Linked DNA regions of Notamacropus eugenii. The protein of the gene in region 2 purifies or fractionates together with the protein of the main gene of each other region. This does not show direct contact. Links are inferred from orthologs where the notes say so. Each region holds a gene or a part of one and is shown on either strand. Other genes may lie near its edges.

The links.
Region 1: the proteins of USP33 (region 2) and ROBO1 purify together in Homo sapiens (affinity purification with western blotting; 5 studies listed by BioGRID and IntAct, with this or other methods). This does not show direct contact. The link is inferred for Notamacropus eugenii from reciprocal best matches to the Homo sapiens genes USP33 and ROBO1.

Annotation. Positions count from the first base shown.
Region 1 is NC_092877.1:178,225,264-178,241,475, reverse strand, and holds the start of ROBO1 (roundabout homolog 1), read left to right. Parts: upstream 1-9,941; 5' UTR 9,942-9,953; coding exon 9,954-10,227; intron 10,228-16,212. UniProt on the Homo sapiens protein: Receptor for SLIT1 and SLIT2 that mediates cellular responses to molecular guidance cues in cellular migration, including axonal navigation at the ventral midline of the neural tube and projection of axons to different regions during neuronal development.
Region 2 is NC_092873.1:538,963,828-538,979,671, forward strand, and holds the start of USP33 (ubiquitin carboxyl-terminal hydrolase 33), read right to left. Parts: upstream 5,914-15,844; 5' UTR 5,675-5,913; intron 1-5,674. UniProt on the Homo sapiens protein: Deubiquitinating enzyme involved in various processes such as centrosome duplication, cellular migration and beta-2 adrenergic receptor/ADRB2 recycling.

The DNA.
Region 1 (16,212 bases), on a different chromosome or scaffold from region 2:
TTTGGAAAGGGGAAAGAAAATAAACCTATTATTCTATCTTAGAAGTCTACTGTTATAGTAGTCATAAATTAAGTTTTAAATCAGTTGCACTATTTACTTTAAAATTCAAATTAGAAAATTCACTAAATCATACACTTTTAGAGCTAGAAGGAATATTATATATCATTTATTTCATCCCCATCATTTTACGGATAAAGATACTGAGGCCTAGATAGATTGTTGTACAAGATCTTATGCCTAATAATTAGTACAGCCTAAAACAACACCTCCATGATTCTATATTTTGTTTCAATTCTTAGTGAAGTTTATGTCCTTTAGTCTTTTTTTCAGAAAGATTTGTGGGAATTTCATTTTTCCTCTGAAATATCTCATATTGTCCAAAAATATGATTTTTAGAGATGGATATAATTGTTTCAAAGAATTTAAAATTGAATCTCTATACATAGTCTATTCTGTAGTCAACTCAGGATATATAAGTGTCTAGGACTGCACTTACATCATCTCTGTGCCAATGTAACTCATTGTTTTAAGAGTGTCATCCTTAAGCTATGTTCAAAACTATTTGGGGGAGACACTAAAGATAAAACTTCAGATAAAAACTAGTCAGCAAACTAAGGTTACTTTTTTGGTTTTCTTTTCTTTTGGTCAATAAGCTTATTAATAAATAAATAAATTCTTCTAGTAAATCCTGATTCTGGTGCATATATTGTTTTGCTACAGAGATAACTTGAGATTCCAAAAGGCTACTCTAGTTAAGAGTTGTGAAAGGCAGATTTGATGAAGGTAGCAATATTTCTACTACAGGTCCAGAGAAAGACTATATATGAGTAGTTCAAGACCAGTTTATAAAAATTTTGAGTCCTATTACCAAACTGACTTTAGGGTCATGGTTTCTCATCCATGGCAACTCTCAAAGACCATCTTCTAAATTGCAGAACAGTTGCATTCTGCATTGATGAAGATAGCACCTACAATGATGAAATCACAAGTACCATTTTGACAATTAGCCAAATTTACTGTGATCTCATCACTAAATTTGATTTTTTGGCAATGAGTAACCTATATAAACTAACACTAGTATGTGACAATGACGCAGGCTAGAACAATGGGTTGACTATATAACTTGTTAGTGATATATGATACTTGTCTTACCAATATGGTGCTTTACATTAATACGGATTTAATATCAGTTAGCTCTATCATTAACTGAAATGATTTCCTATCTGAAAAAAAGATGAATAAAGAATTGATGAAACACTTAGTGAAACTAAAACAATCCAGCATATAATAATCAATGAAAACACTAAGTATATGATTTCATACAGACTGTTTACATATATTTTATATTATTTTGTAGCAAGTTGATCTAATTCCATATAGTATATTAGCAGATAGGTTGGGAACCTACATTTGTTTCTTTATTATATATAGTTTATCATGTCATTCATCTTCTCTAATCACCTATACTATTTGTATGAGAGGTCTCTTTAATACATGCTTGGCAATTTAAATAGGTTTTTTTTGGTGGTTTTTGTTTTGTTTTGTTTACCTCAGGGTACATTTAAATGTCTTACAACAAAACCTTCATTGACATGGAAATGTCTTATGTAAAGTAAAAACATTTTTCACATTTTACCAACATCTTAAAATCTTCATGAAGTCAAATCTCCTTTCAGTAACTCATATTCCAAAGATTTACTGAGATGACAATAGAAGGAATCAGTATATATTTCAGTTGACTTATGGGAGAGGGAGAAAGAATTAGAGAGATGTATAACATATAGAGAAATATTACTGGCATTACTAGGAATATCTGACTTCAAAACTTCCTCTGACAAGTACTGCCTAGGTAACCATGGACAATCTGTTTAACCCCTCAGCGTCCCCAGTAAGTTATAAATGAGTTCCCTATCTGAATTGGTGGATAGAGTTTCCACAACAAGAATTGTCAGAGGTCTGGATCACATGTACATACACACACACACACACACACACACACACACACACATCAATGGAAAATATCCCTGTTGTGTCTCTGCAGAATATATTTTCTGTAGTTACTCAAAAAGATAGCAATGGCAGTAATCATTTTATCTTTGTAAAAATTACATGCAGCAATGTCCATTCTAAAATTACTGATCATTGTGATCCAAAGTTTAGATTTTATCTCCTTAAGATAGTGATGAAAATAGTTTTCTTCAGCATTTTTATCACACAATATTTAATGTCTTTGAGATATGATGTTATATTTACTCCATGGTAGCCTGGTACTGATTGACAACACAATTTTAAAAGGTTCTTATTCTAGATATCTACCAAAAACATCACTTTCCTATCTCAAATGGCATTGCCATGTGTCATCGATTTTTTTACATAGACCTTTACAGGAGTAAGCACTCTTTAAAACCTACACAAATGCACATGTGTGTACAAACACATGCGCTCATGCATGCATATACACACACACACTAAATGTTTTCATTTTTTGTCCCTACTTAGATTGTCAATCTAAATTGACATGAGGGACTTTATTTGCCCCAGAGTTCCCTACACCAGTGAAATCACAGGTCCAATCCCTTTTCCTATTCCTTAGATTCAACTTATTTTCCCTCTTTGTTCCTCCCAGTTCAGGAGAATGAACAAGGTAACATGTACCTCACAAACATTTTAAGCTCATTGAATTAAAGCTGAAGTTTTAGCTTTACCTTAATTTGATTTTTTTTCAGATTTGTGACACAAGTTTAATGTTTTTAGACTTCATTTTGCAATTCTTCACCTAGGTTTCTAATTAAATATGCTCAGGACTCCATTTAGAATTGGCCATTCTCTGCATTCCTCTTGATTAGTAGAACAGAATCAATGTGAATTGATCCAATTTGTAGAACACAATTCTCATATTGATAGTGGTTTATATTCATTTGCTTTGCCCTAATCTTTTATTAATGGTCGTCCTGGAAATGTCATTCCCTCTGTTGCTCAAAAGCATTGCAGTCTGAGATATAAAAGGATCATTGGATCAAAAGTTTAGATTTCAGAGGGAGCTTAAAGATACACTGGTTCAATTTCTCATTTTATAATTGAGAAAACTGAGGCCTAAGAAGGGGACTTGTCCAAAAACACAGAGACAGAAGTAGAGTTGGAAATAGAACCCAGGTCCTCTGTATTCAAATCTAGTTGTCTTTCCCCTCTGCCACATTAATAATATTAATCTATCAAAGAAATAGATTAGATGCAGAATATTCTGCAACCAAAATAAAAGAAAAAAAAGATGTGTACAAATGTGAATATAGATATAATGTATCTATAATGTGTGTATATGTAATGTATCTGTGTGCACATGTATGTATTTATAAAACTGTGTAAAACAAAAATATAGATGAAAGATGAAAATTACAATAAAAAGGTCATCTCAACTGTCATTATTTTTTTAAAAATAATAAAGACAGGTCTCAATTAGTGAGGATAGTGAATTCTACTGTTCCCATAATTCAGATTCACACTATCCAAAGCTATAATTATATATAAAATATGGTCATTAATTCCAACCCAATAGAAATATGAAGCAAAGATTCAAATAATATGACCACTTCATCAGATTCATTCATCAGACTAATGGGGACCTCACTGCAGATGTTGCTGCATGCATTCCTTAAAGTAGGTCAGGGGATTTTTTTGAGGGAGGAAGGCTGTTTGTTTTGAGTCTAGAAAATTGTCACAAGAGGAAAGTTTATTTATGGACCTCATAGAACTACAGTATTTTAGAGGTGCAAAGTATCTTAAAGATCATAAAAAGATGGTATGTGGTTATAATGGAATACTATCACACTGTACAAATCATGAGCTGGATGATCTTAGAAAACCACAGATAGACATATAAAATAATGGTGAAATGAGCAGAACCATGAGAACACAATATACAGTAACAATGATATTGTTTCAAGAACAGCTGGGTAGGGCTCATGATAGAAAATGCCATCCACATCCAGAGAAAGAATTAGGGAGTCTGAATGTAGAGAGAAGCAGGTTATTTTTGTTTGTTTGTTTTGTTTTTTTGAATTTGTCTTGGTCTCTCCCATTCATGTTCTACATAACATGAGTAATGTGAAAATATGTTTGATAGAAATGTATAGGTAGAACCTATATCAGGTTGCAGGCTATCTTGGGGAAAGAGAGAAAATTTGAAGCTTATGGAAGTGAATGTGGAAAACTAAAAATAAATAAATTAGTTAAAATTTAAAAATGAAAAAACAAAAGAAAAAAACAAAAATAAAAACCTTGTAACAAAAAAAAATTTTGAGTGACTAAGTCATTTTGTCTATTATAAATACCCAAATTAACTACCAAAGACATACAAAGCAAGACTATCTGAATCCAGAAAAAGAAATGATAAATAGAAGTATGAATAGAATGATTTTGTGTGTGTGTGTGTGTGTGTGTGTGTGTGTGTGTGTATCTAAATATATCTATCTCTAGGGCGGGAAGGAGAGAGGTAAGAAAAAAGGGGAAGAATGAAAGTTACATGGTAACTTTATTATATATTTAAAAGGAATAGCTAATTGTTCACCATAGAGTTGACCAAACAGCTAATTAGGATCAGTGATTGGAAGAAACAGTCCAGTTTATTTTTAACATGCTATAGGAAGCTTCAGGAAATACATCTTCATAAATGTAATAAAGTCACAAAATCTCATATTATCCTAAATAGTATTGTCCTTTGTTCTTGAAGAGGACCAAAGTGACATCACTATATTACAGTCAAATGACAGTGCGTCCACCTATGACTGATCATACCAATGCAAGCTTGGAATGCTCTACCACAGGTCAGGCACAAATATGCCATATGAACATCTGGAGTGGAAATGACTCTAAATTTGTGTATCTCACTTTTCTTTTGAGCTACTGAAATTCTGCTTTGCTCATGGAGCACAGACCTTTCTTTGATGCCAGCATCAAAGCCATGCTGAGCTGTCCTTTGACAGTGTCTCTTATGCCATGCAATCAATTCCAATGTTCTCAAGAGAGATCTTGAGAATGACCTTGTAATGCTTCTTCTGACCACCATGTGAGCACCTTCATAAAATAGTCTTTTAGGCAAGTGTACATTTGGCATTCAAATAATGTGACCAACCCATCAGAATTGTCCTCCCTGCAATACAGTTTGAATGCTTATTATCCTAAATATGATAGAGAGACTATATAGAATTCAGACTGTAGAGAACACAGAGAAAATAATTATACTGTTTCAGGTCTTATGCTAATAAGTTTGAGTTTTATGAGATTCCTTTAGATTTTAGGACATGAGCAGATAGTCACCTAGCCAGGCTCTCAAACATTTCCAACACATCACCTCATGCTCTAACCTGCTATGAAAATTCCTTTGCAGATAACCTTCAGAAAACAACAATACCAACTTGCTACTATCTAGACAACTGAGGCAAATGAAGATTATGTTGAGTTCTAGAAGGCCTGGGAAAGGGAGGATCCTGAAGTTTCTAATCACCTGCCTACAGCAGCAGACCTATTTACATAAATTGATACTTTACCTGGACCCATTTCTCAATGGCCCTCATATTCCCTCTAATTCTCCTAATCTCAGTGATATTTAATACACTATTGTTGAAGAAAAATCTCCTTGCCCTACCCCTATTCAGAATGCAAGGCATTTAAAGTCTGGTTCAAACTTCCTCTGTCCCTAAGACTTGCTTTCACACTAGAACATTTCAACATACACGTTGATGATCTCTCAAATACTTTATTTCCCAGTTCCTTAGACAAACTCAACTAACTCCTATGACCTAATCCTTTTAGCTACATGCACAGATGATCATACAATCTTACCATCACCCATGTGCTCCACTTCCATGTCCAAGAACTCCATAATTCAATTTTCTAGTCACAATCTTTTATGATTCCATTTCCATTTTACTTTTTCTAAACATATTCATCATCCACTCCATGACTGCTAAACCTTCTCTTGCTCAATACTTTTCATAGATATCCTTACTGTGATGATATTCCCTTCTCTTACAAATCTTGACCTATTAAAAAAATAAACTGGGAAGTCCAAACCTACTTCCACTCTTGAATCTTTTATTCCACTGTCTATCGCTGCTGACACTTTTCCAAATCCAACACTAGATTATTCCTATCATTTGCTTTTTTTTCCTGTTCAAAAGGTTATTAATGAAGGTGCTTGCTGAAGTCATAAACCATACTGATTGAGCCCATTGTTAATATATGCTATTTAAACTCCCCCTGGGATCTCATTGCAACAAAGCAAAGCTTTGACACTTCCTTTACCAATTCTGAATCTCAGTTATTATTGTGACTGCTCCAAACATTCTTTCCAGACCTACACAGAAACAGAAACTCTCTCTCTCTCTCTCTCTCTCTCTCTCTCTCTCTCTCTCTCTCTCTCTCTCTCTCTCTCTCTCTCCTCCTCCTCCTCCTCCTCCTCCTCCTCCTCCTCCTCCTCTCTCTCTCTCTTTGTGTCCCTTTTTCCTCCTCTCTCTCTTCCTCCTGAATACTTCACCTCATGCTACACAAAAGAAGTCATTTGCTCTTTGCATTGAAAAGAGCTTTTTGCTTTCTTGTCATTTGCCAGTGCTCCTTCTGATTTCTTTCTCTTCCTCTCACATCCTTTTTATATCACTCCCTATGTCTACCTTCATTTTCATCTCTGATAGCATTTCTCTTTTCCAAGGGCAATCTTGCTCCATATCTGGCACGGTACATGTAAACATTTCTATATATACTCTTCTATGCTGTATCGAGTGATCCTGAGGTAGTATGATTATCAGGGATGTGCTTTGACCTACTGCTCAACTGAACCTGGGGTATTTTATTACAAATTATTTTGTTGTAAATGATAGTATCTGAAAAATTCTCTTTTCATTACTTTTCATTATATTAGTTCCAAAGTCTAACCCAGAGGTAAAAGTTACTTTACGTGGGACATAGTAAAAGTTATTAATTCACGAGATTCTCTTGGCTAAGAATGACCCAAGGCATTTTCCTGCCAAATTTTACTTGTCTATTCAGGCTGGTTAAGATTCATTTCTAAAATCTGGACACATCAAGACTATACACGTTATAGAGAATTGCACATTGAATAATTCTTTGACTCGTTAAGGTTGTCTATCTATAATCTAATGCTGACAAGCATTATCAGCATTTTCTGTAACTGAAATTAAAGTAAACCGTTAGAGTTCACTTATAATCTAAATGCAATGAGTCAAATTTTAATTTAATTTAATTTGTTTGGCAGTCAATAGTTGAAAGAACTGAAAGAGACTAGAAAATTGGGAAAAGAAAGTGCCTTCAGTTTCATCAATAAACAAAAATTATAAATGCCACAATGCTTTTATATACTTCTAGGAAAGAAGAATTTATCTTAAATACTTGTGTTTAAGCTTGTTGAACACTGAATACAAAGGAATAATAGCAAAGCAACAATACTGTTTCTTTCTGAATCCCATGGAAATAGATGAAAAGGATGACAACATGATCATCACCATCATTGCCATATGTATACCACCTTACATCTTGCCAATGCTTCATGTGCATTATTGCATTTAGTTCTAAAAACAGCTCTGATGGGTAGTACATATATTGTACTCATTTTACAGATTAAGAAAGTGAGGAACAAAAAGAGATTAAATGACTTGCCCCAAAATGGCTGTTAATAATTGACCTAGTTGATTTCAAAGCTAGGATTTCTGATTACAAATTCAATATTCTTCCCACTAGACTATAGCAGTCTTTATGAAGTATAGCGTGACTAATGGCTAAAAGACAATTCTAGACATATAAAAATAATTTTATAAATACTCATTGATTACCATTTCTCTTTTTTCTGTTCCCTTTTCCAGACTATGATCATGGAGTAAACTTCTAAATAACTAGGGTCAAATGAAGGACTGTAGGAGAAAAATCCAGTTTTTAGTGGGTCTACACAAGTTGAATTCATATCTTAATTAATTTAGCTGTAACCTACCTCCTCCACTATTGTTACAACCACTTTATCTTTGGCTGGGTACAATAGCTTGGCAGTAAATATAATGAAACAAGATAGGAAAAATGTTTGTATCTGATTATATTTTAAAATTCTATAAACTTATTTAGTTTCTATTAAATTTACTATATTTATATTTAGATAATTTGAAGTTTATAAATGCACATATAGGAAACTGTCCCAGAATGGTCTGAAAGTTGCTTTTCCTTATATGGTTTATTTTCAATTACAAAAATGACTAATCACTGTGAAAAAAAGAATGCCATATATTAACTTTTAAACATCTGAATTCCTGAGTAAGTAGTGTTTGCTCCTTTAAAAGCCACATTTAAATGAACACCTGCCATTTGTCTTTTTAAACCAAATTCTTCTATTTGGATAGTCTGCCCACCAAGAATACTTATTTGTGGCATAACTATGCCAGTGAGATCCCTAAGTACATGCAAAAGAAAAAAAACTCACTCTGCTTTACTGATGTGATTTAAAACTCAGGCCCAATCAGCACATGCATACAAATAAGTTACTAATCTGAAGGGGCAGACAAGTCTCTGCACTGACTTTGGGTAGTTTTTTTTAATGACATCCATAATGTTCACCATTATTGAGATTAAAAAAATGAATGGACTTATAAACATATTTTTCTCGGTGTCTGTCCTAAACACAGATGTAAATTTCTTTATTATTGTTAGCATTACTTACATCAAGTAAATTACATGGCATGGGCTAGAGATAGAGATATTGACCAGCTAGAGTATAGAAAGTGGATTTGGTACATAGCATGTTTCATTTTCTTCTGAATACATGATGAGACTCTTTAAGTGGTTCAGGGGGTAAGCCAACACTTATAGGGACCATTTAAAAATGGAATGGCATTAGGTATTTAATCTTTGGACCTAAAATGAATTTCTTGCTTAATGCTTTTAGAGAGGCATTAACTAGTTTTACATCCTGCCTTATTGAAAAGAATCATTTCTTCCACAGTGAACAGCTGTGCTTCCTCCTCCAGTGCTTAGAAATCCTTGTTAGATATTGTGTAAGGATTGCAAGGAGTTCTTCATCCTTAATGATCAATTATTTACTATGTAGTTCTCTTTTTAGTAAGATGTGTGCTTTTTTTATCAGATCTAAAACCTCATATCAATAATGCACCTATCTATATTAATTGTATTTATCTGGAATAGTAGATACATTGTGGCTAATAATTGGGCACTGAATAAATAAAATTTTGGTAAGTTTTGAGCATATGTACTTTCTTTACTCTGGATATTTGATTAGTTATTTCTCCTCTGAAATTTTAAGAAACAAAAAATGAGTTTGCCAGTTTAAGACTATTAAGGAAAAGCACTCCAAACATACAAGAACAAGCAAGAAAGAGAAAAGAAATTATTATCTTGTACAAACTTTGAGCGCTGTGTTTTGATTTTACTTACCCAAATTAATTGAAAACTTCTTACTCAAATTAAATGAAAATTAACATCCATGCATTAAGCTCAGTAAATATATGGAGGTCCCTTAAAATATTAAACTCTTGCCTTCTCAAAGATGTGATCTTGCCCTTTTTCTCTGTGCCTTCTGAAGAAGGTATGTCACTTTTATCAGCCCTTCCTCTCATTTGACAAGACACTGTTTCACTCACACTTTTAGACCACTATCCCCTCCCTAAAAGAGGTAGTCCCCTGAGTCTGTAATTGCCAGGAGATGAAGCGATGATAGGGAGTGATCACAGTCAATAGCTTTGATTAACAATAAGGTAGAAAATTAGCAATGCTAGCATTCAGCTAGACTGCCTTCTCTTCCCCATATGCTCCCCACAGCCTGTGCTGACTGCTGCACAGGAGGTAGTCGGAGCCCTGCACAAGCTTTGAGTTACAGCAATGGTGCAGCAAAAGACTATTAGGGGAATCCAAGAGTGAACTGGAAAAGGCTATAGAAATTATAAATGATGGCAGTGAAATTTTTCCAGAGTTTGATATGCCACAGAAGATGTGAGGATGAAGTATGCTGTATGTTATCCCTGTGTGTCTTTCTGGTCTATGTGGATTTACTTGTGTCTGGACATATTGTGATGGAAATGGCAACTACTGTTACTACTGTGACCCCATCAGCAGCTCTGGTGTTGTTTCCGACAGACTCTGAAGACCTAGAGAGGGGGACGGACAACGGGACACCACTCCCCACCTCTGATAATGATGACAATTCGCTGGGCTACACAGGTAGAGTGTATCTTTCCAAAATATTAATAGTCCCATCTCTCTTCAAACTTCATCAGTCATCAACCACCTGTATAAAATTATTTAAACATCCCTACTATTAATAGCTCCAGCAAGAAATTGTGCTGTGGTACTCATGCTTTAAAATTCATCCAGTAACCTGGAAATAATGATGCTGAAGGAAACTATTTAGAAAAACTACAAATGAAGACTATGTTTATTCTTACTTAGCATTTGTTTTGGTTACTTGAAAAACAAATGATGATCAGGGCGAAGGTTTTTTACTGCAAATATGTTTGGGAGAATAGCAATTTGCAACATCATGCAAACCTTTGAATAAACTGGAGCAAATAAGAAAAAAGAAAAGTTTATATTAAGAATCATTTGCTTTCCAATCAAAGTCATCTATACATTTCTTATTTATTGCACTGCTTACTAACATCTTAATATTGTTCTTTGCATGACTAATATATCCTCTAAGTGATACCATATCCATGAACCACTTCTTAAATATATATGTACACAGACATACACATATGTACACACGTACATAACCAATTAACTCACTAAGTTCATTGAAAAAAGAACTAAATGTCTTTAAAATGAACATGTATGAAAGTGATATGTTTACTTTTCTGTGAAGTATTTTTCAGTACAGTGCTAAAAGTGAATGGGAAATAAGACAACCTTCCTTGTTAATTTAGATATGGACAAGCCACAAAATGTAACTTGTAACTAAGTGCATAATTCAGAAATAATACTATCACAGTCCTATTGTTAGTAACAAACTGTATTTAATCCAAAATTACCTTGTTGTACTTTGCAGAAGTACTTCTTGGAAGGGTTCTCCATAGATTGGATAGCAATGAGAGAGATAAATGGCCATTATTAATATTACTACTATTATTCTGGTAACCATATGAGGTAAAGAGAGAAATACAATAGTTGAATTTTACTTGAGAACAAAATAACAGTATTATTTTACAAACATCTTCATTCCCTTCATGGAAACATTATTTCAGTATCCCTCGAAAGTTGAGGTTTGAGTCACTTGATGTCATGATAAAATACTTCACATATTTCTTTGTGTATACTTTTTTCCTTCTCACAGAAATCACCATTTCTCATCCTTTTTTAGTTTTTCTCCCAAAACATAAACTGAATCTTCATTTGGGGAGTACATTCTGCAGGTCTTCAACTAGAATCTTCAGAAGTTCTAAATTCTACTTCTTAATGTTATTATTATAAGATAGGTTCATATTGATAGAAGTACAGATCAAAAACTATTATTCCTTACACATATTTTGAATTTCCTATATATTAGCGTAACTAATTTGTGTTCTTCTATTCAGAAAAACTGTATTATCTAGTCACATTCAAAATATTTCTTCTTTCGCTGTTATGGGATGTCCACAACTTGCATGTGGGCAAGGTAAAACTGAATTAAGACAACTTAAAATTGTATTAAAACCTAAAAGTAACCTTTTCTTTATTGCTATTAATCATTTATTCTTTCTTGTCATTCCATTTAGTTCACTGAAATGGAATCAATCAGTTATCAATATTTATAATCTTAATACAAAGAATAGATTTATTCCTTATAGGTGATGAACTTATGGAACTATTTACTCAATATTCTGTCAAGTGACTTATTTAAAACAAGGCCAATTTAATGCAATGTGATTATAAAATAAAGTTATAAATTACCCTGTATCTGAGGCCAGTAATTACTTATGATAGGCCAATAGTAAAAAAATGTTTATTGAATTTATACTACCACAGTCAATTTTCAATTATTCAGGGACTGATTGTTCCAGAGTAAGCTGGCTATACCCTATCTTTCTCCTTCTCTTCCTTTCCTTTTTCTCCTTTCTCATTACAACCTCCAAAAGAATAGAAAGTGAAATGAAATAGAGGTTAAACTTAAGCTGCTTTCTTTCTTTTTAGAGGGTAGAGGAGTGGCACTATCCCTTACATGTGATAAAAGTTGCAACAAAAGATACAGAATAGACTATGAGATGATAGCGTTTTGTACAAGTAGTTCTGACTTTCTATAAATTTTCTTTCCTGGGAGAACTCTTTTAACTATACTCACAAATGATTGAGTTGGCACTCTCTGTGTAGTACAGACTGTATAATGGCTCATGGACAAGAGTTGGGGATAATTAACAGTATATATGGTTGGTGCATTGTTAATTTTTTAAAATAAGAATGTTTTTAGCAAGTCACCATGTATATAGAAGCAACATATCTCAGTGTTTAAATTTAAAGTTTGTAATGAACCAGCAAATACACAAACAGTTGTTAGATCTCTGATATTAGTTAGCCATAATGACAATGGCTCATGAAAACTAATTTTTAAAAACATAGAAATTCTGCTTATGCTCCTGTATTTCTAAAATAAGCTTGTGGAACTTCCATATTTTACCTTCTTTTTTGTAAACATTCTTCCTTTCATAAATCTGACTTCTGAGGCCTTTCTCACTGTCCTTCTCCCCCAAAGTCCACCATAATGGTTCACAGAGTCCAAAGGCAAAAATAAAAGCCTCCCGGAGGTATTTTTACAAGCTAAGACAAACATCATCCCAATCAATGAAAACCTAACAATCCCCAAAAGAATAATTTCCACAGTTTGCCAAATTCTGTATTCATTCTGACCAATTTTCCTTTTAGCCTCATCACTAAAAGTTTGTCTTTTTCACATATGTTTTTCACTACAACACATGCTATGGTCACCAAGCTACATATAACCATGACTATCAAATTTATCCATTCAGATAAAATTCATAATAAGCACATGACTTCATAATTACATATAAATGTCTTGATTCTTTACATTAAGGTATTAATATGCCTTAATCAACACATGTCAACTTATAAATTGAATTCTTCATTGCTTTTGATCATAATTTTGTAGTAATATTTATAGAAATTTCATCAGTGTTTACATCGTGCCTATATTTAGGTGAAGTGCAAGGTAGAGGGACCAGAAGGGTAATTTTTGGTGATTTAGAATAGGAAGTAAAGATTGATTTCCTTTAAGGACTTATATGACCTGATGCTGAGTGAAAGGAGCAGAACCAGGAGAACTTTATGCACAGCAACAACCACAGTGTGTGAGAGTTTTTTCTGGTAGACTTAGATTTTTGTAATAACACAAGAACTTCTGAAAAAAAAAAAAAAATCCCAATGGTGAACCTCAAGGCAAAAAGCCTTCCACACTCAGAGAGAGAAATATGGAAGTCACTCACATAATGTAGCAGATCATGTTTGTGTATGTGTATCTGTTTGTGTATCATGTTCTGATTTGTTATACGGATTCTTTCATTTATCTTAGTCTGACTACATAGCATGACGATAGTGAAAATATACTCAATAGGAAAGTATATGCAGAATCTATACAGAATTGTATGCAGTCGTGGGGAGGGAGGGAGGTAGTGGGGGGTGGGTGGGGAGGGATAAAATCGCAATTGTATGGCAGTGATTGTTAAACATTAAAAAAAATAAAAAAATTAATAAAAAAAAAAAAAAAAAAAAAAGATTGATTTCCTTCCCCACATACACACATAGCCATCATCCTCCCACCACCTACAAGTATGACTCTCTCAAAGCTGAATGGCATTAAAGTGTTGCAGTATCACTGAGTAGTCAGTGATGGCAGACATTGCTAAGATGATGGCACGATGTTGCTGAAGTGTATTTGAAAGTTATCTAAAAACAAGTAATATATTTCCTAGCTGATGGTTCACAGAATACAGCTTCAGGTGCAAAAACAGATAACTTTTTAAAATGTTATTTTATAGGATCAAGATCATGTTCCAAAACACCCATAATAACTGCTAATCAATGGAGATATTTTAAGAAGTCTTTTTTTTAATAGCACATTGTTTATAGATTGCTACTAAGCATACATATTTACCACATAGTTACAACTCATACAACTATGAGAGAGGTGAAAGGTGTGAATTTAAATAGTGAGATGTTTAAATGTCAGTAACATAGCTATATTTTCTTTACAGACGACCTTCAAAGCTTTTCTTAAGAGTATTGAATTCAAGCTGATATTGCCATAGTAAGGAAGAAAATACTAAAGAAAGAAAGAGAGAGTCCTGATATCACACTACCACAGTGGAGACATATACATAGAGCCTCAAAATCATCAGCCTACAGGATGTCTAGAAATCTCAGAATGAAGCATTATAGTTGTCTATTACTGTTGAGTTCTCTCTCCTTCCCCACCCTGAACCCCTGTCACCCCTGCATAAGACAATATGCCTGTTGGTACGGTAGGCATTTGTTTTAGGGAGATAGATTGTACTCCTTACATGTTTCATACTAACTAAACATTTTAGGTTGGATTAAAATTTCTATTCATCCTGCTGCTGCTAAAACTTAGAGAAATGTAATTTATGTATAGCAGAAAGTCCTAGAAAGTACCCAAGGGGGAAAAATAAATTAGCCCATTTGGATAATCCATAGAAAAGAAAACACTAAATTTACCTGAGTAAACAAGAAGACTCAGGATGATATTGAGCTATTGAAATATCAAGACGTCTTGCTTATGATTAATAGGAGTGATACTTGACTATTGTACCTATGATTTTATAGCTATAAAATAATGAAAATTATTTACTTTAAAGAATTTGAATTTTCTCTTCTGAAAGTAAAAGCAAATTGAGCTCAGACTGATTTATCTTTCATAAAAATGGAAAAGGAGCATGTTTTAAAAAATCAAGGCCTATATATAGAAAATAACATACTTTATGCTTATCTTTACAAGAAGATTTTAGTCAATGCATTTCTTTGCTCTTATGATTATTAATAATATCTCTCAAAAGGCTATAGAATACCAAATAAGAAGCTACATTAAACTAATACATTTAAGCCACTTGGCAAAAGAGGTATACCAAAGGAAAAATCAACTTCACTTGCTTTATTTTTAAATGACTAAATTAACATTCCTCACAATGTAGTTTTCTGGGGGATATCCTCATTAGTATACAGGCTCTCCAATGATTCAATGAGTAAGAGAAATCGAGAGTTAAAAGCATCCTCTGTAGACATATAGTCAAATCCGTATGAAAAAGGCTTCCGCACTGTAACATACCTGGCATGTGCTTGTCCAGGCTCAGAAGACTGACAGTGAGAGTACCAATCCCTACTCCAAGTGGCTCCTTCCACTCTTAGCTCTAATTGTTAGAAAGCTTTTCCTCACATGAAATCTAAATTGGCCTCTTTGCAACTTCCATGCATCGTTCCTGGTTCTGTCCTCTGAGTCAAAATGGAAAAATCTCTTCTCTCCTCCACACAGTAGGCCACTAAATACTTGAAGGTAGAATATCCACCTTAAGCTTCCCCTTCTTGTGCTAAATATCCTCATTTCCCTCTGTAACAGTCCCTTCCCTGGCCCCCACTCCATAAAAGTCAGGTATGTTACATTTCACTCCTCCTCCAGGGTGCGCTAGTATTCTTAAGGGGGTCTAGACTCTTCTCCTGCACCCAGAAGTGAAAAAGACAAACAAAGTAAACCAAAATCCCAAAACTAATTATTGGGGCCACAGAGCCTAAACAGAGAGCTGAAAGATGACCCTTCCCCCACTCCCACCCACCTTAGTATATAGTACCCATACTGTGGGTGAACCAGACTTGAACCTCTAAATGCAGCAGTGGAGAGAGTTTGAGACTGTACTAAAGACACTATACAGCTGATGGAAATATACCACTCCCACCCATATGGTAAGGGAACACAGGATTTATGTTCGCCAAAGCAGGTCCCTTGTATCTCCCATAAGGATACCTCCATCTCAGTTGACCTGCAAGGTTCAAAACCTGATTACTCTTCAATCAACTCTTTTATGGCTTGAACTTAAGACCTTGACCAAAGTGTTCTCTTCCCTCTGGACACTCTCCTGCTTATCAATATTCAGCTAGTTTGCAATGATACAGCACTGTCCAGCTAAAACCAAATCAAGACATTGCTACAATTTA
Region 2 (15,844 bases):
AAGGAAGAGCCAGTCCCTGCCCTCAAGGAGCTTACAATCAGATGGGGGGAAGACAACACACAAAAGGGAGTAGAAAGGCAGGCTGAGGGGGGCCTAAGAGGGCTCAGGAGGGGCTGGGAGAGATGAGGAGATGTATGAATTGAGCCCCCTCTCCCAGTTAGGACAGAAGGGCAGGGTGAAGAGGGGCCGTCTTGGCAGCATCTTACAAAGAGGACAGAGGGTGTCCTGGATCCTGGCCAGAGCAATGGGGCGAAAAGTAGATGGCATGTGTTTAGGAAAGATTTCAGGCCCTACCATGGGAGGTCCTGGCATCCAGGAAATCACAGGACCTCTACTCTGCCCCTGGTACTGTCCTGAGGGCAGAAGCCATTTCTCTTCCATCTCTGTATCTCTGAGGCCTGGCAGGGTCCTGGGCACTGAGGAAGGGTTTAATAAATACATGCTGACTGGGGACGGTGGAGGTGCCCCACCAGTGTCACCTTAAGTGACCCACACAAAGCTTGTAGTCCCTAAAGTTGACCTAAAAGAAGAGAAGCGAGGAATTATAGCTCAGGCTACATCCTGCAGGAAGGCCATGGGGTGTCCAGTATGGATTGAGAGCCGAGGAGAGGCAGGGACAAATACACTCCAACAATCTGTCACCAGAGCGGGCTCTACCTCCCCCAAGAAGATGCCCTTCTATTGGGGCCTCCGTACGAGACGTACACACAGCCTTCAGGAAGCATTGACAGTCGTCAACCCTGGGGCCAGAGACAATGAAATGCTCACCAATACCTAAGTGCCAGGGCCCAGAGTGGGCAGAGAGAACGCAGAGCATGGGGAAGGCCTCCCTAAGAGGGGTCACTGAGGCGAAGGCCTGAGGATCTCCAGGGTAGAGGGGAAGAGAAGAGCATGCCAGGCATGGAGGGCAGCCTGTAAAATGGAATGAGCTGAAGGAGGCTACTGCTGGGCCTGGAGTTGGGAAGAGCTGAGTTCAAATCCAGTCTCCTGGCCAGGTCTGCCTCAGTTTTCCCATCAATAAAATGGAGATAATAAAGCCCTCACTTTAGCATGGTGTGGTAAGGATGAAATGAGAAAAGGAAGATGTAAAGTGCTTTGCTATCCTTAAAGCACTGTGTAATGTGCTTTGGGGTCAAGGCACTGGTAGCCCTTATTAGTATGCGCTGTGGAACAGTGAACTCTGCAGGTCGAACTTTGGCTGGAATCTTAAATACATGTGAAAGTACCCTGGAAAAGGGGACACAGTCAAACAATGCCAAGCAGAGATGTGGGTACTTGCCCCTAATGATGAAAGGGAACCACTGAGCCTTCTGAAAAGTGGAAGGTTCTGATTGTCAGCTGGTTTTCCCCACCCTTGGTTCTAACAGGGTCAGCCCTATCTCCCAAACCTGGGCCACCCCAAACTAGGCAATCTTGGATCCGGAGCACATGAAAAGGTCCTTGGGCAAGAACTGGAGTAAACAAAGCACAGAAGTTATGGGCATTGCCACTGAGTGGTGACCCCATTAGCAGATCACAGACATGAAAGCGGAGTCTCATTGCAATGGGGTTGGGGTTTAGGTCAGCCCCACTGATCTGAGCTGCCCCTTTTCTGCCTCTGCTGCTTCTCATCGGGGCAGAAGCATCAAAAACTAGAGCAAAACAAACCGTGAAACTCTTGTGTGTGATCTCCCCAGGCAGACAGCAGCACAAAGTACAGAACCCCAGGAGGAAGAAGGAAGGAAAACTCTCTGATTTTCAGCGTAATGAAGAAAACGCAGTACTGGACTGATCCTAAACGTCACCAGTCACCAAAAAAGGCCATCTGCCCGATCACAGCAAGAGGGGCTCCCAGTCACAGGCCCACACAGCCACCAACCTACCAGCAAGTGCTTGACAAGAAGGCATCCACTCTGTGCTTGGCTCTGTGCACACACAATGAGAGAAGAAGTCAACTTTACCAAAGAATCATTGTTTAAACTTCCCAATATGAAATGGTCCCCTGGACTTTGGTTCAGTCTGTCCTGACAGGTTACAGGTGACACAGGCATATGTCCCCAAAGTGCTACTTCTGTGAGCTCACAGGGAACACACCCTTAAATCATGGGAGAAGAATTAAATAAAAATTAACTGATGCCTGTCTTCTCTTGAAGAGAATGCAGACTGGTTCATGAGATTCCCAGTGATCCCACCAAGGAGCTGTTCCAATTCTCCACTGCCTAGAGAAAAGCACATTAAAATGAGGTTACCGGCAATTTACAATGATCAAAGGCAATGCGGGCAAAGACAGAAATTGGCGGCCGAGGCTAGGAGAAATCAGTGGGCCCCATCAGTCCTAAGAGGCCATGGAGAGAAGACGATGGAGAAAAGCCCGAATGGGGCACATCTAGCCACAAGAGCTGGCTCTTCTGAAAGTCACAGACTGGGCATGTCTTCTTATGGTATGGAACAGGGCAGTTTGGGAAGCAGCTAGCTGGAATCCCCATCGTAGAAGAGGAGCCGGGGCAGAGCTGGGGGGGACAGTCATGGAGGGCTCACTAGCAGCCTTCCAACAGCCAAGACGTCTTCCATTTGGTCACAAAGGAAAAGAATTGTACTCTGCCAAATGTCAGGTGTCTTCTGGAGACTTTCCACCTGTCTGTGCATTTTTTCTTGTTGTTTTCACTCCAATAAGGGTAGTAAAATGATATCGAAGGAGAGGCTGGATAACCAACCTTGTTGTCCAGAAAATTCAGCTCCTCAGGGGCTTTGTCTTCCAATTCCAGGATTCCATATGGTGGGAAGGGACGAAACCAAAGCTGATTTCTGTGGTATTTTAGTTGTGCAGATACAAAAGCAGACCTGTCCAGACCACTGCTCTGGAAATCAGGATAACAACGACAATAGCACTTGTGTAACACGTTATTTGCAAAGATTTGATCTTCACCACCCTGGAAGATAGGTGCCATTACTGTCCCCACCTTACAGGTGAGGAAACGGAGGCAAATTGGGTGAAATGACTTGGCTCAGGCTCACACAGCTAGCAAGTGTCTGGGGTCAGAGTTGATCTCCCCAAGAGGAGTCTCCCCGACTCTAAGCACCATGGCGCCCCCTAGATGCCCCAAGCCTTGCATACTTTGTTCATGCTTTCGCTGACCCAACTCCTCCATAGAGGGCTGTAATTCCATCGGTCGTAAAGACGCTGCCATACACTCATTTAAAAAATCTTCTAAAGAGTCTGAGTTGTTTCTTAGGGGGAGAACTGTGCCCCAGACCTGTGATTTAATTAAGAGAGAACTGCCCAGAGGCACTCTGGAAGCACACAGCAGACAGGAGGTTTGGCCCCAGCTCTTCCAGAATCCAAAACAATGCAGCTAATAATACAAGGAAAATTCAAGTTCATAGAAACGTTTCTCTGAACTGCTTTTCCACAACTAGTGTGAGCTGAAGGGACCGGAGAATGAGAGCCTGTGACTTCCCAGCCAGGCCCCAGGATCCTCCTCAGTCATCTGTCTTTTCAGCTCCTCCACTTCCTGACTTTCTTGGAGAATCTGACCATGGCTACAGTAAAGACCCCATGTTCAAGGCTACCGGGACAGAGGTCTCCCTCCCACTCTCTGTTTTACTTTTCACATTCCTCTGCACTCCCCCCTTTTCTAGCCTTTGTACATGAAAATGATCTCTTATTGAAGCTAAACTTGAAAGTATTTTTTTAAAAAGAAAACCTATTCTTATTAACAAAATTGTCCTTCATGGCTTCAGAAAAACCTGGGAAGACTTATATGAACATATGCAAATCGAACAGAACCAGGACACTGCATAGAAATAGCAGCACTGCAAGTTAGCGACTGTGAAAGACTCTGTTACTGGACCAAGACAATCCCAAAAAGGCTCTCCTCCTCCACAGACGGATGGACTCTGAGTGCAGATCAAAGCAGACTTGTTTTTTTAACCTGATTTCTTATTCTGTGTGTGTGTGTGCATGTGTTTTCTTTCACACCATGGCTAACATAGAAATACGCTTTGCATGAGCTCAGCGTATAATCAAAATAAAATTGCTTGCTTCTCAAGGAGGAAGAAGGGGTGGGAGAGAGAGGGAAAGAATTTGAGACTCAAAATTTTAAAAAATGATTGTTAAAAATTTTTTACATGTAATTGGGGAATAGTTGATGAAAAAAATAAAAGTAATTTTTAAAAAAAACACAGAATTGTCCTTCATATTAGACCTGTGCTCTCCTCCCTGGAAATTGTTGTGTTGGTTTTTTTTTTAATTCTTCTTTACATGGTTTATGTTTGATTTTCTATATCAAGGCTTTTTCTCCCAACTAGAGTATAAGTTCCCTGTAGGGAAGGATGGTTGTTTTTTGTCTTTGTCTTTATCCCCAGTGCTTAGGGCGAGGCCTGACAGGGGGGATGCTTAACGCTTTTTCAATAGAAGTCCACTGAGTGGATCTTCATCACCCACAGTCCCTAGATTCAATCTTCACTCCTAAGATATTCAGGCAATTGTCCTGAAACAAACGGATCCACTTCTGTCATTCCTTTGGAGACTACCCCAACCTCCTCCTCAAACAACGCACCCCAAACTTGGCCTGCAGAGCAGAGGACACCAGAGGAGAGGTCTCAATTCTCCCATCCCTCCTCCTGGCCTGCTGGAGAGAGACCTGCATTCAAATCCCGCCTGACTCAGCGAAGGTGGCTGGTGCAGGACTCACCTGGAATTCCCTCTTTCCCCTGCATGTTGCCCTTCTCCCCCAGACTCCCCTTCTTTCCCAGTCCACCCCTTTCATCTGCTCGGCATCTCTCTATCTGAGATGGACCTGACATCAATGACCGTGGGCTCCTTCTGAGAGGACAGGCCTCAGCCAGCCACCAGGCCTTTCTCTGGGGCTGCTTCTCCTGAGGACCCTCCGTTCTGATTAAGGCCAAACCTCCAAGCCTTTGAAAGTGTGAGCAACAGGTGCTGCTTCTGTAAGCTAAGAGAGCCAGAACTGTCCAGGAAGGGGCCCAGCCCCAGGCGCTGGGCCCAGGCCTGGCCACCCAGGATAGGCCACCCCGGACGGGCCACCCAAGACGGGCCAGCCAGGCTGAACCACCCCGGACGGGCCACCCCGGCCACAGCAGACTGACCCGGCCTGAGCCATGGCTCCGGTCAGACTGACCCTGGCTCGGCTATGGTCCCGGAGCGCCTCCACAGACATGGGACTGACCACAGGAGCCCAAGCATTAAGCACCGACTGTCTACAGTCTCACACCTTCCACCTGCCATCGGTGCCCTGGCTCGCACCCTGGTCACTGACCCCGGGGCCCTGCCCAAGGTCCAGCTCGGTCCCGTATTCTGTTTGAGGTGACCGGTGGGGGGACAAGCTGCCCGGGGCCCCCCACCTCGGGGGAGCGCCGGGCCCTCCTGCCCGGGTCCCACTGAAGCCGGCATTCAAGGCCCCGCCGCTGGGGGGCGGAGTGTCTCACCGGGGACCTCAGCCCTCCGCCCTAGGGGCCACACGCCCGGCGGCCCCTCGGGGCACGCCCCCATCCATAGCGCAGCCAGGGCTCCGTTAGGGCCCCGGCGGACGCCGCCCGGTCCTCGCATACAGCAGGCACTTAATAAGCGCTCGCGCAGAGCGGGGGCCAGGGGAGGCCGGGCTGCGGGCCAGGCGGCGGCTGTCATCTCCCTCCTCCGAGCGGGTGCCTCTCCCGCCCCCCAGGCCCCGCTCACCGTTCACGGTCACGGTCTCGGTCACGGTCGCTCGGGATCAGCGCCGCGGCAGCGAGGGCTCGTCCCACCCGCCGCCGCGGCCCCGCCTCCAGCGCCGGCCACGGCCCACGGCCCACGGCCCGCGGCGGGGCCCACGTCTTGCCTCGGTGCGTAACCTCCCGCCTCGGCCGCCGCCGCCGCTGCCGCCGCGCCTGCCTCCTTCCGGGGCCGCGGGCCCAGCCGGGAAGGGCGGGGCGGGGAGGGGAGAGGCGGGGGAGAAGGGGGAGGGGGCGGAGGGAGGAGGGAGGAGAAAGGAGGGACGGATGGTGAAGGGAGGAGAAGGGGAGCGAGCCCCGCCCCCGGGCTGGTGGGCAGGCGCACTCGCCCCGAGGGGCGGAGGGGGAGGGGAGAAGGGAATGAGCCCCGCCCCCGGGCTGGTGGGCAGGCGCACTCGCCCCGAGGGGCGGAGGGGGAGGGGAGAAGGGAATGAGCCCCGCCCCCGGGCTGGTGGGCAGGCGCACTCGCCCCGAGGGGCGGAGGGGGAGGAGGGAGGGGAGAGAGGAAAGAAGCCCGCCCCTGGGCTGGAGGGCGGGCGCACACGCCCCGAGGGGAGGGGAGGGAGGGGAAAGGGAAGTGAGCCCCGCCCCCGACTGGTAGGCGGGTGCACACGGCTCGAGGGAAGGAGGAGGGTTCAGAAGAGGAGAACGAGCCCCGCCCCCCGCGAAACAGGGCGGGGTTTTAGGGGGCAGGGCTCGGGAGGGGCGAGGCATAGAGTCCCGCCCCCTCCGTCTGGTACCGCCTCCTTCGGTTGGTTCTCCGGATATCTTGGGGTACACTGGGAGCTTCTTGAGGGTAGGGTCTGTCTGGTCCTTTCTTTGGGTCTTCATGATTGCCCACCAGCCACCCCGAGGCGGCGGACAGTTAGGGAGACCCCCCCCTTTGCTTTGGTCCCGACTCTTCCTGGAGCTCCTGACACCTCCTGGCCTCCCGTGAGTCCGTGGGCATTTATTAGGTGCCTGCTGTGTACAGCGCCCTCAGTCCGACGTCCTGGCCTGATTGTGCCCCCTTGGGTCCTGGGGACGGGGAAGGGGGGAGACTGGACAGCTCAGAGTCCTTCACGCCAGGAGATGGACCCCTTTGTCCCATCCCTGCCGTGGTCTCCCCAACAGATAGTAGCGCAGCATTTATGCAACCCTTTGGGGTGAGTTCTTGGTTTGGGGGTGAATTTGGGGAGGTGAATCTGCCAGCTTTTCCCTAGGAGCGTTTCCTGGGAGCCCACAGCAAGGACAAAGCCTGTGCAAACGGGCATTTACCGCTCCCCCCCATCGATCCTCTTCCCAGGGGAGAATGTGCTGTGGAACTTTGGGACCAAAGTCAAGGCCCATCTGTTGGGAAGGGCCTAGCCTCAGGCCCACCCATTGTGGTCCCAGAGGATGCTGCAGCGAGTGCCACTCCAGGGCGGGAAGGCAGAGGAGGAGCGGAGAAGATGACTAGCGGTCATCAGAGCCCTGCCACCCAGGCACTGGGCGACTCCATCAAGGTGAGCGCAAAGAATGACCCCTCCCAAAAAATCCAAAATGAACGGTGACCAGAAGACTGCCTCTTGGTGGAGGTCCCCTGGTCTCACACATGGCTGGAGCTCTCCTTTCCCCTAAAATACTATTTGTCATATGGAATAGCTCTCTGAAAGGGGGAGAGGGAGAGACACGTGAGATACTATGGTGAGGCAAGAAAGAGAAAATAGCCATAGAAACTTATTTTTTTAAAAAAATACTGCTGGGATAATTTCAGAAAAACCTGGAAAGACTAACATGAATTGATGCAAAGTGAAGCGGGCAGAACCAAGACCACATCGTACACATTAACAGCAACACTGTTGGAAGATCCACTAGGATGGACTTAGCTCAGGAATACAATGATCCAAAACAATTCCAAAGGATTCATGAAGAAAAATGCTGTCCACCTCTTTCCAGAGAAAGAACTGATGGAGTCTGAATGCAGACCGAAGCAAACTCTTTTTCACTTAATTTTTTCGGGGAGTTGTTTTTTTTTTTTTTGGTCTGTTTTCTAACAACTAATATGGAAATATGTTTTGCATGAGTGCACGTGTATAACCTCTACCAAACTGCTCACCTGCTCAGATGAGGGGAAGAAGAAAACAAGAAGGAAATTTGGAACCCCAAACTTTTTAAAATGAATATTAAAACTTGTCTTTATGTTTAATTGGGGAAAAACAAAGTATTATTAAAAAGAAAGAAAAAAGAAAAAATCTGATACTAAGCTGTGTCCTGAAGTTCTCTCCTCAGTCCTCCAGGCAGCAAACCTCAGAGCTCAGAAGGGACTTTTTCGGGGGAGGTCTGATTCAGGGAGGCCAATCAGGCCTGGGCTAGGATGGTGACACTCCCCCTCAGGGTCCTGGGGCACCCCAAGCCTTGAGGTGTTTTTGTTTTTCTAAATCTGTAGCCCAGAGCTTCCATTCACTGGGGTTGCATTCAAGAGAGGCTCTCCTTGAGTCTATTGAACCGATTAACTTCAATTAGCTTTGACGAAGGGATATTTGCTTTGAAGATACAGCAAGAAGGGAAATGGCAGGTTTCCCCTGTACCTCAGGGGTTCACTCTCCCCCATCCCAAGGACCGCGCTCATCCACAGTGGGGTTGCTGCAGTGCATGGGTCCCCAGTGCTCACCTCCCTGGCCTCAGCTCCCTGGTCAGTGCCTCAAAGCTGCATAGACTCTGCTTCTGGACCTTCACTGGCTCAGGTCACCTAGAAGGAATGAGCAAAAGCCTACATCTGCCTTCAGGGACCACATGGTTGGGGAGGGTGCAGGACTCAACCTTGGCCCTTGTCTGTCCCCTAGATCAGACGAACATGAAATCCACCTGGTGCCTTTGGAGTCTGATGCAGCCAAAGCCAGCCTGAGGGGCTCTAGTTCACCTACTAGGTGCGGTGCACATTCCTTGTGGGAACAGCATGAGTTGGGCACTCCACTTGCACTTGTGAGGACTGGGATCCTTGGCCAGCCACGCCTTCCTGGCTTCCAACTGGCTCAGGCCAGAGAGGCCAGTTCCTTTACAGAAAGACAATGGAAGAGCTGACATTTCTCCTATGTCTGCTAAGAGCTCTTTATCAGCTGCACAACAGTAAAAAACAATGCAGATCTATCTAATCTGATGAGTTAATCAAAAAAATTGGCAATGATGCTTTCCAATTATTCAACTGCAAGCACTGATCTGCTTTGAGAATGAAATATCCACTCTGCCCAAGTCGTTAGGACCTCAAGCACACATCTCTCTTCTATTTTGAAGTCCCAATGGCAGAGATTTTTAACAGAGGAATATTCTACAGTTAAAACTGAGCAAGGCTCCAAAGATTGGGTAACAGGTCAGTTAACAGGGTGCTTCATTAAATGGGACAATAGTTCACCGTTGGAGAATCATTTCTTTAAACCACTCATCTCCTCTTTGACCACTCCCTCCAAGGTTTCTCCTTGCCAGCTGGCCAAAGGTGAAATGAACTGAAGTAACTCAAGTAATCTATTAACTGAAGTCATCAAAGCAGCATCTTAGGGTTGACCCTTATCCTAACACCTTCAGGGCATGGGGGAAAAGCGAGCTGTTCTTAGATAAATCAGTCAGAGGGTCCTGGCTCTTCTCTGGTCCTGGAATTGATGGTTGAGAGAGATAGAGGAGGGTTCTCTTTCAGATTATTCCCAAGGTTTCAGGCAGGATCATTTTAAAGTGTTTTCTTAATATTGTTAAAAGGTAGGGAGCAAGAGGCAGCTGGTGGCACAGTGGAGAGAGCACTGGTCCCGGAGTCAGGAAGACCTGAGTTCCAATCCTGCCTCTGACACTTGGTACTTAATAACTGTGTGACCCTAGGCAAGTCACTTAACCCCAATTCCCTGAGGGGGCGGGGTGGAGGGGCAGGGAGAAGAGTTGGTTGGCTGGTAGGTTGTTGTCCTTTCTTCTCACAGAGAACGCAAATGACATCACTATGTTGGGGTCAAGTTACAATGTGTCCACTCCAACTGTAGCTGATCAGACCAATAGGAGCTTGGAATGCTCTACCACAGGTCAGACACAAATTGTCCATGTGAACATTCAGAGTGGTGATGTCTCTAAATCTGCATATCTGGTGGGTTTTTTTAAGCTACTGCAATTCTGCTTTGCTCATAGAGCACAACACCCTTTCTGATGTGGGCACACTGTGCTGGGCAGTCCTGTGATCCTATACTAGTGTCTCCCATGTCACATAATCAACTCCAAAGTTCCTAAAAGAGACCTTGAGAGTGTCCTTGTATCACTTCCTCTGACCAAGAATGAACATCTGCCCTGTGAGAGTTCTTCATAAAAGTCTTTTAGCAAATATAAATTTGGCATTTGAACAACTTTTGGCATTCAAACACGTGGCCAGCCCTTTGGAACTGTACTCTCTGTAGTAGAGTTTGAATGCTTGGCAGTTCAGTTTGGGTAAGGACCTTAATGTCTGGTACCTTATCCTGCCAGGTGATCCTCAGAATCTTCCTAAGACAATTCAAATGGAAGTGATTCAGTTTCCTGGCATGGTGCTGGTAGACTGCCCAGATTTCTCAGGCCAACAACAATGAGGTCAGCACAGTGGCTCTGTAGACCTTCAGTTTAGTAGGCAGACTAAAACGTTTTCTCTCCCATACTGTCCTTTGGAGCCCCCCAAACACTGAGCTAGCTCTGGCAATGCGTGCATCAACCTCATTGTCAATATGTACATCCCTGGAAAGTACACTACCAAAGTAAGTGAACTTATCTACAGAATTCAATATTTGTCCATTTGTTGTAACCAATGGTTCCATGTATGGATGATGTGGTACTGGCTAGTGGAAATGTTTTCTTGGTGTTAATTGTTGGGCCAAAATGAGCACAGGAAGCAGAGAATTGATCCATACTTTGTTGCATCTCAGCTTCAAAGGCTGCATTGAGTGCACAATCATCTGCAAACAAAAAGTCAAACACCAACTCTTCTTCCACTTTAGTCTTGACTTGTAGCCTTCTCAAATTAGATAATTTACAGTCAGTTGGTAGCTGACCTAATGCCATTTTTGTCCTCACTGAAAGCATCTGACAACACAGCAGCAAACATCACGCTAAAAAGTGTGGAAGCAAGCACACAGCCCTGCTTCACTCCATGGGTGACTGGAAAGCACAAGAACATCATCCATTATCTAGAACCCAAGCAAGCACACTGTCATGGAACTGACATACAGTACTGATGAACACCTCCAGACAACCTAATTTTACCATGAGCTTCCACAAGCCTTCACAACTGACAGTGTCAAAGGCCTTGGTCATATCTACAAACGTTGTGTACAGACCTCTGTTCTGCTCCTGGCATTTCTCCTGTAGTTGTTGGGCAGCAAACACCATATCAACTGTTCTTGGCTCTTTCTGAAGCCACACTGGCTTTCAGGTAGATAATCAAATAGGAGGACTCTGGGAAGAATCTTGCGAGCAATGACTAAGAAAGACTCCCTCTGTGATTGGAACGGGACAACCTATTTCCTTTACATTTGTAGAGATGGACAATGGAAGCATCCTTGAAATCGTGGGGGATAACCTCCTCTTGCCATATAACCTGAAGAATTTCAGTAAGCTTTTGCATGAACCAGAAAGAGCCTGGAGAGTGGTGGTATTAATGGAAAACTGGGTAGAGATCAAGTTATTTACATATTTTATAATGTAAAAATTTTAGCTTTCCTTCCAACAAAGTGAATGATGACAAAGAGAAGCAGCTTGATATAGTGGATAGGAAGGTGGCTTATGAATCAGGAAGACCTGGGTTCAAGTGCTACCTCTGATGCTCACTGTCTTTGTGACCCTGAGTGAGTCACTGAATTAGAGAATCACCCTTAGAAAACTTTCCAAGGGTATGACTTGCAGAATGGTTGCAAATGTACATTCATATATATTGGCAGAGGGAGTTTCACTCTATAGATGAAATGCCAGGTCTGGTCGAAGTCCCATCCAACCATTTAAATATTAAATGTAAGTGGGACAGTGTTACTCCATAAATATAAAATGGGTTGGTATAATGGTAATTTAATTGGGAAGATCTTTTCCATTCATTAATAAGCCTATGTGACCTGCTCGGATCACATGGAAGTGACTTGAGTCTGTGGAGGGAGGAGTTGGCTGAAAGGGTGCAGCAGGAAGGGAGGAACAGGAGGAGCTAGAGTAGAGCTGAGGAGAAGTTGGTCAGAGAGCAGTTAGAGCCAGGAAGGATGCAAGCAAGCAGCCAGCTAGCTAGTGTGAGTGAAAGAGCTTGTTTGTGATTTGTGTAAGGAAGCTGGTTTGTGGGATGCCTAGCAGGAGAAGGCTTGGGGATGGTCTTGTTCTCTGCTTTGTTCTTGTGTACAGATTTTGTTACTATGATGGACTTGGCTTTCCGTTGTCTGAGTTAATGTTTTGGTTCTGTCTTTCCTGTGGAGAGTCTGTTGTATTTCACAATTCAGAAGTGTGCCAGGATATTCGTGACTGCTGTAGGTGCTATGAATATGGCATTGGTGCTACAGTTGGAGGGTGGGTTCAAAATCATAACCCCATAATATGCTGTATATAGGAAACATTTTCTGTCAGGCCAAAAGAGGTGCATAACTCTAAACAGTGAACTTAGACTAAACTGTATATCATGTAATAGAGTACTGGGAATAGGGAGTCAAGAAGCCCCAAGTTCAAATCCAGCCTCAGACCATGGTAAGTCACTTCACCTCTGTCTGCTTCAATTTTCTCAAATGTAAAATGGGTACAATTTTGGTCCCAGAGATGGGACCTGAGTAAGTGTCAGGGGGACTGAATCTCGCATCTGTGGTGGTTTCCAGACTTCACAACCCCAAAACACTGAGGACAAATTGGAAGGTCACTGGGAAAAGCCTGTTGGACTCAGAGTGGGAGAGTGGAGTGCTCTGGTCCCAGACCCAGGGTAGCAGAGTGGGGAGGGGCCAGAGGAACCTGTGGCAGCTGCAGCAGCAGCAGGGGCAGCAGCAGCGATTGTTTCTAGAACTCTAGGCCCACAAATTGTGGGGGAATCAAGCAGCTGACAGTACACTCCCAACCTCCCCTGGAAACAGAGATCTATATTGACAAAGAGCTCAAAAGTCAAGTAAATGCCTGGGGAAATGAGCAAAAACAGGAAAAAGAATCAGACTATGGAATCTCACTTTGGTGACAAGGAAGACCAAAACATGCAAACAAAAGACAACAAAGTCAAAGCTCCTCCATCCAAAATCTCCAAGAAAAATATGAATTGTTCTCAGGCCATGGAAGAGCTCAAAAAGGATTTTGAAAATCAAGTAACAGAAGTAGAGCAAAAATTGGGAAGAGAAATGAGAGTGATGCAAGAAAATCATGAAAAATGAGTCAATTGCTTGCTAAATGGGACGCAAAAAAATGCTGAAGAAAATAACACATTAAAAAATAGACTAACCCAAATGACAAAATAGATCCAAAAAGCCAATGAAAAGAAGAATGCCCTTAAAAGCAGAATTGGCCAGATGTAAAAGGAGGTCCAAAAGCTCACTGAAGAAAATAATTTCTTAAAGATTAAAATAGAGCAGATGGAAGCTAAAGACCTTATGAAAAATCAAGAAATTAGAAAACAAAGACAAAGGAATGAAAAAATAGCAGACAATGTTGAATGGAATGAAGTTAGTGAAGACTTCTCAGTGCTTAACAAAAGGCTTTTAGTAGATGGTTACATCTAAATTTGGGTTTCCTAGAAATCATGTGACTTTTAGGAATATGAAACTTAAACACCTCCCTTGGGATGCCACATCAATGTTCACATCAACATAATGGCTACTGGTTATTCCACAACTTCCTTGTCCCCTATTCATAGAGTAGACTGTCAAGTTTAGATTGTGAGCCTGCCTCCCAGCCAATGGGAGTAAAAGCCCAGAAGGGGGGGTAGGATCTGCATTAGAGCTATATAATCTCTATTTTTGCCTTCTGTAATTGCCTCACTCTCCGGATTACTTATCAGAGAGTAGATGCCCTTTCTCGTGAGATCATAATAAAATCTTGCTGCTTTGGTTCTACCTTGAGAAGTCTCTGATTTTTATTTGAGTCAGTGGTCTCTGACCTACACAATGTGAAATATCTCACTGGAAAAACAAGTGACCTGGAAAATAGATCCAGGAAAGGCAATTTTAAAATTATGGGACTACTTGAAAGCTGTGATCAAAAAAAGAGCCTAGACATCATCTTTCAAGACACTATCAAGGAAAACTGCCCTGATATTCTAGAACCAGAAGTTAAAATAAATATTGAAAGAATCTATCAATTGCCTCCTGAAAGAGATCCCAAAAGGAAAACTCCTAGGAATATTGTGGCCAAATTCTAGAGTTTCTAGGTCAGGGAGAAAATATTGCAAGCAGCCAGAAAGAAACAATTCAAGTACTGGGAAAATACAATCAGGATAACACAAGATCTAGCAGCTTCTACATTAAGGGATCGAAGGTCTTGGAATATGATATTCCAGAGGTCAAAGGAGCTAGGATTAAAACCAAGAATCACCTGCCCACCAAAACTGAGTATAATACTTCAGGGGGAAAAAATGGTCATTCAATGAAATAGAGAACTTTCAAGCATTTTTGATGAAAAGACCAGAGCTAAATAAAAAATTTGACTTTCAACCACAAGAATCTAGAGAAGCATGAAAAGGTAAACAGTAAAGAAAAATCATAAGGGACTTACTAAAGTTGAACTGTTTACATTTCTACATGAAAAGATAATATTTGTAACTCTTGAGACTTTTCTCAGTATCTGGGTAGTTGGAGGGATTATATACACATAGAGGGCACAGGGTAAGTTGAATAGGAAGGGATGATACCTAAAAAAAAATAAAATTAAGGGGTGAGAGAAGAATATATTGGGAGGAGAAATAGAGAAAGGGAATGGGGCAAATTATCTCTCAAAAAGGAGGCAAGAAAAAGCTTTTTCAGTGGGGGAAGAAGGTGGAGGTGAGAGAGAAAAAGTGAACCTTACTCTCATCACATTTGGCTTAAGGAGGGAATAACATGCACATTCAATTTGCTATGAAAATCTATCATATACTACAGGAAAGTAGGGGAGAAGGGGATAAGTGAGGGGAAGAGAGGGATGATAGAAGGGAGGGCAAATGGGAGGAGGGGGTAATCAGAAGTAAACACTTTTGAGGAGGGATAGGGTCAAAAGAGAGAATAGAATAAATGGGGGGCAGGATAGGGTGAAGGGAAATATAGTTAGGGTTTCACAACATGGCTTTTATGGAAGTCTTTTGCATAACTACACATGTATAACCTATATTGAACTGCTTGCCTTCTAAGTGGTAATAAGTGGGAAGGGAGGAAGGGAGAGAAGTTGGAACTCAAAGTTTTAAAAACAAATGTTAAAAATTATTTTACATGCATCTGGGAAATAAGATATACAGGCAATGGGGTATAGAAATCTAACTTGCCCTACAAGAAGATAGAGGGGATGGGGATAAGAGAAGGGAGGGCTATGATAGAAGGGAGAGCAGATTGGAGGAACAGATGATCAGAATGAGTTGTTGGGGGTGGAGGGGAGAGTAGGGGAGAAAATTTGGAACTCAACATCTAATGGAAATGCATGTTGAAAACCAAAAATAAATAAATTAAACTTTTAAAAAAAGAAAAAAATAATGGCAGCTCCATCCCATAGTCATTGTGAGCATCAAATGAAATTCTATTTGTAAAGCACTTTGCAAACCTTAAAGTGATCTGTAATGACTAGTGCTGGCCAAGATGGCAGAAATGCAGCAGAACCTCCCAACATTTCACTCCAAACAACTCTAAAATAACTCCTCACATCAAACTTTGTAGTGGCAAAGCCAACAACAGGTGAAGGTGAGACATTTTTCTCACCTAAGAAAATGGGAGGTGGGCAGGAGAGGTCTGTAGCATCAAAAGAGATAAAGATAACATGTATATTGTGCTGAGAAGTATCATGGATTAAGAAATCTATCAGTTTGGGATTCTTTTCACTAATTTTGTAAAAACTTCACAAGATTTTATGTTATAATAATAAAAATTATAATGAAATAAAATTAATTGACAGATTTTGGCATAATTGTAACATATTTTTTATGATAAATCCAAAAATCCAAGTAAAAAAGAAGTTACAGATCTGAACAATATTGCCAAGATTGTAGAGTATTTAT